2 linked regions of the Saccharomyces cerevisiae S288C genome follow. The protein of the gene in region 1 interacts with the protein of each later gene in a biochemical or structural test. Each region holds a gene or a part of one and is shown in the gene's direction. Other genes may lie near its edges.

What was found. The genes of interacting proteins can lie anywhere in the genome.
Region 2: the proteins of PFY1 (region 1) and ACT1 form a complex in vitro, tested with the Saccharomyces cerevisiae proteins (4 studies listed by BioGRID, with this or other methods).

Annotation. Positions count from the first base shown.
Region 1 is NC_001147.6:550,558-554,388, reverse strand, and holds PFY1 (profilin), read left to right. Parts: upstream 1-1,501; coding exon 1,502-1,514; intron 1,515-1,723; coding exon 1,724-2,091; downstream 2,092-3,831. Other genes in the region: Paf1-complex subunit LEO1, read left to right, coding at 1-1,213; glycerol 2-dehydrogenase (NADP(+)) GCY1, read right to left, coding at 2,337-3,275. UniProt on the Saccharomyces cerevisiae protein: Binds to actin and affects the structure of the cytoskeleton. At high concentrations, profilin prevents the polymerization of actin, whereas it enhances it at low concentrations. By binding to PIP2, it inhibits the formation of IP3 and DG.
Region 2 is NC_001138.5:52,760-56,533, reverse strand, and holds ACT1 (actin), read left to right. Parts: upstream 1-1,837; coding exon 1,838-1,847; intron 1,848-2,156; coding exon 2,157-3,274; downstream 3,275-3,774. Other genes in the region: TUB2 (beta-tubulin), read right to left, coding at 1-198; Rab family GTPase YPT1, read left to right, coding at 548-1,168; YFL040W (uncharacterized protein), read right to left, coding at 3,562-3,774. UniProt on the Saccharomyces cerevisiae protein: Actins are highly conserved proteins that are involved in various types of cell motility and are ubiquitously expressed in all eukaryotic cells.

The DNA of each region.
Region 1 (3,831 bases):
TTTATTTGGAGATGACAATGATGACGATGATGATGATGATGTTAAAAAATCGGAGACTGAAAAAAGTGATAGTGATAGTGATGAAGACGACGAGGGAGAGAATATCAACCATAGAAGTCGTCATAGAGAAAGTCTCGGGTTAGATGATGATGAAGCAGAGGAGCAAGCCATGTACACCCGAAAATTTTATGGTGAGGATGCTAATAACTTTTCTGATCAAGATGAGACTACTCACACTTTTAAAGAGGAAAATGTAGAGCTTGTCAGACATATTATTCCAAGTAAAGCTAATGTGAATGAAACGGCGTCTCACAACGAAATTTTCTATGCTAGAATTCCCAACTTTTTAACTATCGATCCAATTCCTTTCGACCCTCCAAGTTTTGAGGCCAAAGTAAACGAAAGGGCAAGCAATTCAGCTTCTAGGGAGGATCAACTGGACGACCGCCTGATTGATGAAAACACTGTTAGATGGAGATACTCTCGTGACAAAGACCAACATGTCTTTAAAGAATCAAATACACAAATAGTGCAGTGGTCAGACGGTACATATTCGCTAAAAGTTGGTGAAGAGTGTACAGATATATTGGTCAACGATACGAGCAACACTTTTTTGACAGTATCGCATGACCAACAAGAGTTGATCCAGTGTTACGAAGGGGGTGAAATAAAAAAGACGTTGATGTTTATTCCAACTTCGACGAATTCAAAAATACATCAAAAACTAAGTAAAGCTGTTATAAGAAGGAACCAAAGACAAAGCAAGGGTCCTGGAACATACATTGTAAGTATGGATCCTGAAGTGGAAAAGAAGGAGTTAGAGAGAAAGCAAAGCCAGATTTTAAGAGACAGAAGGAGAAGACAGCTCAAAGAAAAGGAGAAACAAGAATCCCCAGATGCCGCTTTTGAGACGGGATTTAGAAAGCAAAATTCACCCACTACCTATGGAGCCTCGAGAAGAAATGAATATGAAGAAGATGACTTTTTAGTCGACGACGATGAGGAAGAGGAGGCTGCGTTTGACGACGAAGAGGATGATAATGAGGAAGAAGAAGAAGAAGAGGACGCGGATGAAGAGAACGCCTCTCGTCTAAGAAATTTAAAAAGAGAAGGAGCAGCAATGTACAGAGAAGAGGAAGAAGAAGAAAAAGATAGGAGCGAGACAAAAAGAAGAAGGGTTGCGGTCATCGAGGACGACGAAGACGAGGATTAGAGGAGACGTTACTTTGTTTATATATATTAGTATGTACAATCGCAAAGAAATGGAGTGATGACATGTTGTAGTATTTAGTATGAGGTTACTGTGTGGGAGGTTTTACCATGATTTTTGGCGAGAACACGCCATGAAATGTCTTTGTACGAAACTCATTACCCGCATTAATATTTTTTTTCTTTTTAAAGCTCAGTTGACCCTTTCTCATTCCCTTCTTAAAACAACTGTGTGATCCTTGAGAAAAGATAAATTACATACACAACATAAACCCAACTACGATCGCAAATTATGTCTTGGCAAGGTATGTGAACGAGACAATTATCAATTGATTAAGAAAGAAATGAGTCGGAGGTTAGCTTGTGTGACAATGTTTGGCAATGCCCGATTTTTGTTGATGCGCGTAATTTCGAAGATTAACCACTCAGAGTAAATTACTAACTGGAATATCAAAAAACATATGAAATTTCAAACATGAATTTCTTTCCGTTTTTTTCTCCTACTTTTAAACAGCATACACTGATAACTTAATAGGAACCGGTAAAGTCGACAAAGCTGTCATCTACTCGAGAGCAGGTGACGCTGTTTGGGCTACTTCTGGTGGCCTATCTTTGCAACCAAACGAAATTGGTGAAATTGTTCAAGGCTTCGACAATCCAGCTGGTTTGCAAAGCAATGGTTTGCATATTCAAGGCCAAAAGTTCATGTTGTTGAGAGCTGACGATAGAAGTATCTACGGTAGACATGATGCTGAGGGTGTTGTTTGTGTAAGAACTAAGCAAACCGTTATTATTGCTCATTATCCACCAACCGTACAAGCCGGTGAGGCCACCAAGATTGTCGAGCAATTGGCTGACTACTTGATTGGTGTTCAATACTAATTTATGCAGGTAAAGTTTTCTTGCCTTATACACCACCTATTCTGGCATCTGCGGGATTTCGCTTCCTATTTTACAAATATTTTATTGATTGACGCTAATTATCACTGTAAAAGGCGCACTTTTTATATGTAGTCACATCCGGTATTTAACATATTTACGAAACAGTCTTAAGAATATCGACATTTGATATACTTATGTTTAATTTATCTACATATTACAATCATACGAGAAACACGCAAAAACAATTACTTGAATACTTCGAAAGGAGACCAATTTGGATGTACAACCCTTTTTTCGCCCTTTTCCTTCGATATGTTATTGATAGCTTCAAAGTCCTCAGTAGACAAAGTAAATATTTTCCTGTTCGTTTTGATTCGATCGGGATTCACAGATTTTGGCAAGACAACATAACCTCTTTGGACGTGCCAGCTAATAACAACGTGTCCGGGTTGAACGTTATTTTTCTTCGCAATTTCAAGGATAACCGGTTCCTTCAATAGTGGAGCATCGGTACTACCTAACGGAGAATAAGCTTCAACCACAATGCCTTTACTTTTACAAAAATTAATCAATTCGTCTTGAGGTAGTAATGGATGTATTTCGACTTGGTTAGCAGCTGGCGTAAGCTTATTACCTTGAGATGCTAATAGATCTTTCAGGTTATTTATAGAAAAGTTGGAGACTCCAACGGCCTTAGTTTTACCAGTCTTTGGTAGTTCCTGCATTAATTCCCAGGTTTTGATGAAATTCCAATTGGTGATATCCACTGCACGAGAACCATCCTTCTTTGTTGGCACACTCAAGATGTCTTCATTTTTGATGTAGGCTGGATCTAATCTGGCAGGCCAATGCATCAAATATAAGTCTACGTAGTCCAATCCTAACCTCTTTAGTGATTGATCCAGCGCTACTTCAGGTTCGTGGTGTTGTGTACACCATAACTTTGTAGTAACAAAGATTTCTTCCCGAGGAACACCTGAATCCTTGATGGCTTGACCGACTTGGTCTTCATTACGGTAAATAGCAGCAGTATCAATGTGTCGGTAGCCATCTTTCAAAGCGGTTAAAACAGCCTTATAAGCATCGTTCTCTTTCGACTGCCACGTACCTAAACCTATTTGAGGGATTTGGGCTCCAGTATTTAGAGAAAGGATTTTCGTAGAATCATGTAAAGTAGCAGGCATTTTTCTATCTTAATTTAGTAATGAGAGCTGTCCAAATTTTAGCTTGCTAAGATGCACCTATTAAGCTCTCATCCTGAATCAAGTCATTAGAATGTCTTGATTCTCCCGGTTTTATACGCCCAGTAAAGCAATTCTTTACTGCCGTAGTCTTTTCCTGAAAGCTCGGTTTCTACTCTAGGGAATTAAGGAGAGCAGCGGTGTGCGATTCGTCACACGGGTGAATGCCTGATAGGCATATTATTAAGCCGTGTTTGCAATCTGCGTGCTAGATTGATTCTACCCCTTTCTGAGAAGGCGAAATGACCTTGCTATGACAATGAGGGAGAAAAGACCGCCCTTCCTTGTTCTTCCCCGGAATAGTCTGCCCCGATTGTTCGCCGGTGTTATAACTTACAATTCTTATACACTCCATAGGAAGTTTGTTGACAAGAGTTAAGTTTCAAATATCTAAAGCCAGGAAGTATGATCACCCAAGCATATCCATTGCAATATGTAAGACATTCAAGCGGATTTCTGGGACTTTAGAAAGTGAAATTTAAAAAAAAAAAAATTTAAC
Region 2 (3,774 bases), on another chromosome or scaffold:
GACGTTAATAGATCTTGGAACCCACTTCCCAGAAGATGCCTCGTTGAAGTACACGTTCAGTCTCTCCTTCTGGATATCGTCATGGCCGTGATATGTCCCATTGAAATCCAAACCGTGCTCACCACAGATAGTTTCCCAGAATGCAGCACCAATTTGGTTACCACACTGACCTGTCGAGATATGAATGATTTCTCTCATTATATTACTTTGTGGAGATTTTGCTTTTGTAGTTGTAGTAGCTGCTATGTCACTCCAATTGCCTCACCACTACTTCACTTAGATCTATTAAAGTTTTCGTGTTTGTTTTAGTTTTTGTTGTTTTTTCTGTTTTTTTCCTTTTTCCTTGTGGCGTCGCCTAGGTCACTGTACACGTATATCGTGACCCGGCGCCAAATTCCTGATAGTACTATTTTTTTTGGCCCATGGGGGGAATAAAGAAAAAGAAGAGAAGCCAGAACAAATTCAGCGATTAAGTGCACCAGTTTTGAGGAGGATATCTTTACTGTTAGGCCCAGGTTGAAATAAATAAAACAAGAAAAGCACTAATATGAATAGCGAGTACGATTACCTGTTCAAACTGCTGTTGATCGGGAATTCCGGTGTCGGGAAGTCCTGTTTACTTTTGAGGTTTTCGGACGACACATATACCAACGACTACATCTCCACAATTGGAGTGGACTTCAAGATTAAGACTGTAGAACTGGACGGCAAGACTGTAAAGCTACAGATTTGGGACACTGCAGGTCAAGAACGTTTCCGTACTATCACTTCATCTTACTACCGTGGTTCGCATGGGATCATTATCGTGTATGATGTCACTGACCAAGAATCCTTCAACGGCGTGAAGATGTGGCTGCAAGAGATTGATCGGTATGCAACCTCAACAGTGTTGAAGCTATTGGTAGGTAACAAGTGTGATTTAAAGGACAAGCGTGTCGTGGAATATGACGTGGCAAAGGAATTTGCGGACGCGAATAAGATGCCGTTCTTAGAGACTAGTGCTTTGGACTCCACCAACGTCGAGGATGCGTTTTTAACCATGGCTAGACAAATCAAGGAAAGTATGTCCCAACAAAACCTGAACGAAACCACTCAGAAGAAGGAAGACAAAGGGAACGTCAACCTGAAGGGACAGAGTTTAACCAACACCGGTGGGGGCTGCTGTTGAACAAGCGCGCCTCTACCTTGCAGACCCATATAATATAATAACTAAATAAGTAAATAAGACACACGCGAGAACATATATACACAATTACAGTAACAATAACAAGAGGACAGATACTACCAAAATGTGTGGGGAAGCGGGTAAGCTGCCACAGCAATTAATGCACAACATTTAACCTACATTCTTCCTTATCGGATCCTCAAAACCCTTAAAAACATATGCCTCACCCTAACATATTTTCCAATTAACCCTCAATATTTCTCTGTCACCCGGCCTCTATTTTCCATTTTCTTCTTTACCCGCCACGCGTTTTTTTCTTTCAAATTTTTTTCTTCCTTCTTCTTTTTCTTCCACGTCCTCTTGCATAAATAAATAAACCGTTTTGAAACCAAACTCGCCTCTCTCTCTCCTTTTTGAAATATTTTTGGGTTTGTTTGATCCTTTCCTTCCCAATCTCTCTTGTTTAATATATATTCATTTATATCACGCTCTCTTTTTATCTTCCTTTTTTTCCTCTCTCTTGTATTCTTCCTTCCCCTTTCTACTCAAACCAAGAAGAAAAAGAAAAGGTCAATCTTTGTTAAAGAATAGGATCTTCTACTACATCAGCTTTTAGATTTTTCACGCTTACTGCTTTTTTCTTCCCAAGATCGAAAATTTACTGAATTAACAATGGATTCTGGTATGTTCTAGCGCTTGCACCATCCCATTTAACTGTAAGAAGAATTGCACGGTCCCAATTGCTCGAGAGATTTCTCTTTTACCTTTTTTTACTATTTTTCACTCTCCCATAACCTCCTATATTGACTGATCTGTAATAACCACGATATTATTGGAATAAATAGGGGCTTGAAATTTGGAAAAAAAAAAAAAACTGAAATATTTTCGTGATAAGTGATAGTGATATTCTTCTTTTATTTGCTACTGTTACTAAGTCTCATGTACTAACATCGATTGCTTCATTCTTTTTGTTGCTATATTATATGTTTAGAGGTTGCTGCTTTGGTTATTGATAACGGTTCTGGTATGTGTAAAGCCGGTTTTGCCGGTGACGACGCTCCTCGTGCTGTCTTCCCATCTATCGTCGGTAGACCAAGACACCAAGGTATCATGGTCGGTATGGGTCAAAAAGACTCCTACGTTGGTGATGAAGCTCAATCCAAGAGAGGTATCTTGACTTTACGTTACCCAATTGAACACGGTATTGTCACCAACTGGGACGATATGGAAAAGATCTGGCATCATACCTTCTACAACGAATTGAGAGTTGCCCCAGAAGAACACCCTGTTCTTTTGACTGAAGCTCCAATGAACCCTAAATCAAACAGAGAAAAGATGACTCAAATTATGTTTGAAACTTTCAACGTTCCAGCCTTCTACGTTTCCATCCAAGCCGTTTTGTCCTTGTACTCTTCCGGTAGAACTACTGGTATTGTTTTGGATTCCGGTGATGGTGTTACTCACGTCGTTCCAATTTACGCTGGTTTCTCTCTACCTCACGCCATTTTGAGAATCGATTTGGCCGGTAGAGATTTGACTGACTACTTGATGAAGATCTTGAGTGAACGTGGTTACTCTTTCTCCACCACTGCTGAAAGAGAAATTGTCCGTGACATCAAGGAAAAACTATGTTACGTCGCCTTGGACTTCGAACAAGAAATGCAAACCGCTGCTCAATCTTCTTCAATTGAAAAATCCTACGAACTTCCAGATGGTCAAGTCATCACTATTGGTAACGAAAGATTCAGAGCCCCAGAAGCTTTGTTCCATCCTTCTGTTTTGGGTTTGGAATCTGCCGGTATTGACCAAACTACTTACAACTCCATCATGAAGTGTGATGTCGATGTCCGTAAGGAATTATACGGTAACATCGTTATGTCCGGTGGTACCACCATGTTCCCAGGTATTGCCGAAAGAATGCAAAAGGAAATCACCGCTTTGGCTCCATCTTCCATGAAGGTCAAGATCATTGCTCCTCCAGAAAGAAAGTACTCCGTCTGGATTGGTGGTTCTATCTTGGCTTCTTTGACTACCTTCCAACAAATGTGGATCTCAAAACAAGAATACGACGAAAGTGGTCCATCTATCGTTCACCACAAGTGTTTCTAATCTCTGCTTTTGTGCGCGTATGTTTATGTATGTACCTCTCTCTCTATTTCTATTTTTAAACCACCCTCTCAATAAAATAAAAATAATAAAGTATTTTTAAGGAAAAGACGTGTTTAAGCACTGACTTTATCTACTTTTTGTACGTTTTCATTGATATAATGTGTTTTGTCTCTCCCTTTTCTACGAAAATTTCAAAAATTGACCAAAAAAAGGAATATATATACGAAAAACTATTATATTTATATATCATAGTGTTGATAAAAAATGTTTATCCATTGGACCGTGTATCATATGATCATCTCTTCATCGCTTTTCAGTTTTATAGGTTTATGCAATTGCCCTTCTTGGGAGGATCTTGTAGAACCGCCATTAGAATTTGAGTCCGGCGTTTTGATACCCTTTTCCCCATGTAAATTGGTGCCCTCTTTACTCTCAAATTCGAAGAATTTATCAATATCTTCTATGCTCATACCCTTTGTTTCTGGGAACCAAATCAAAAC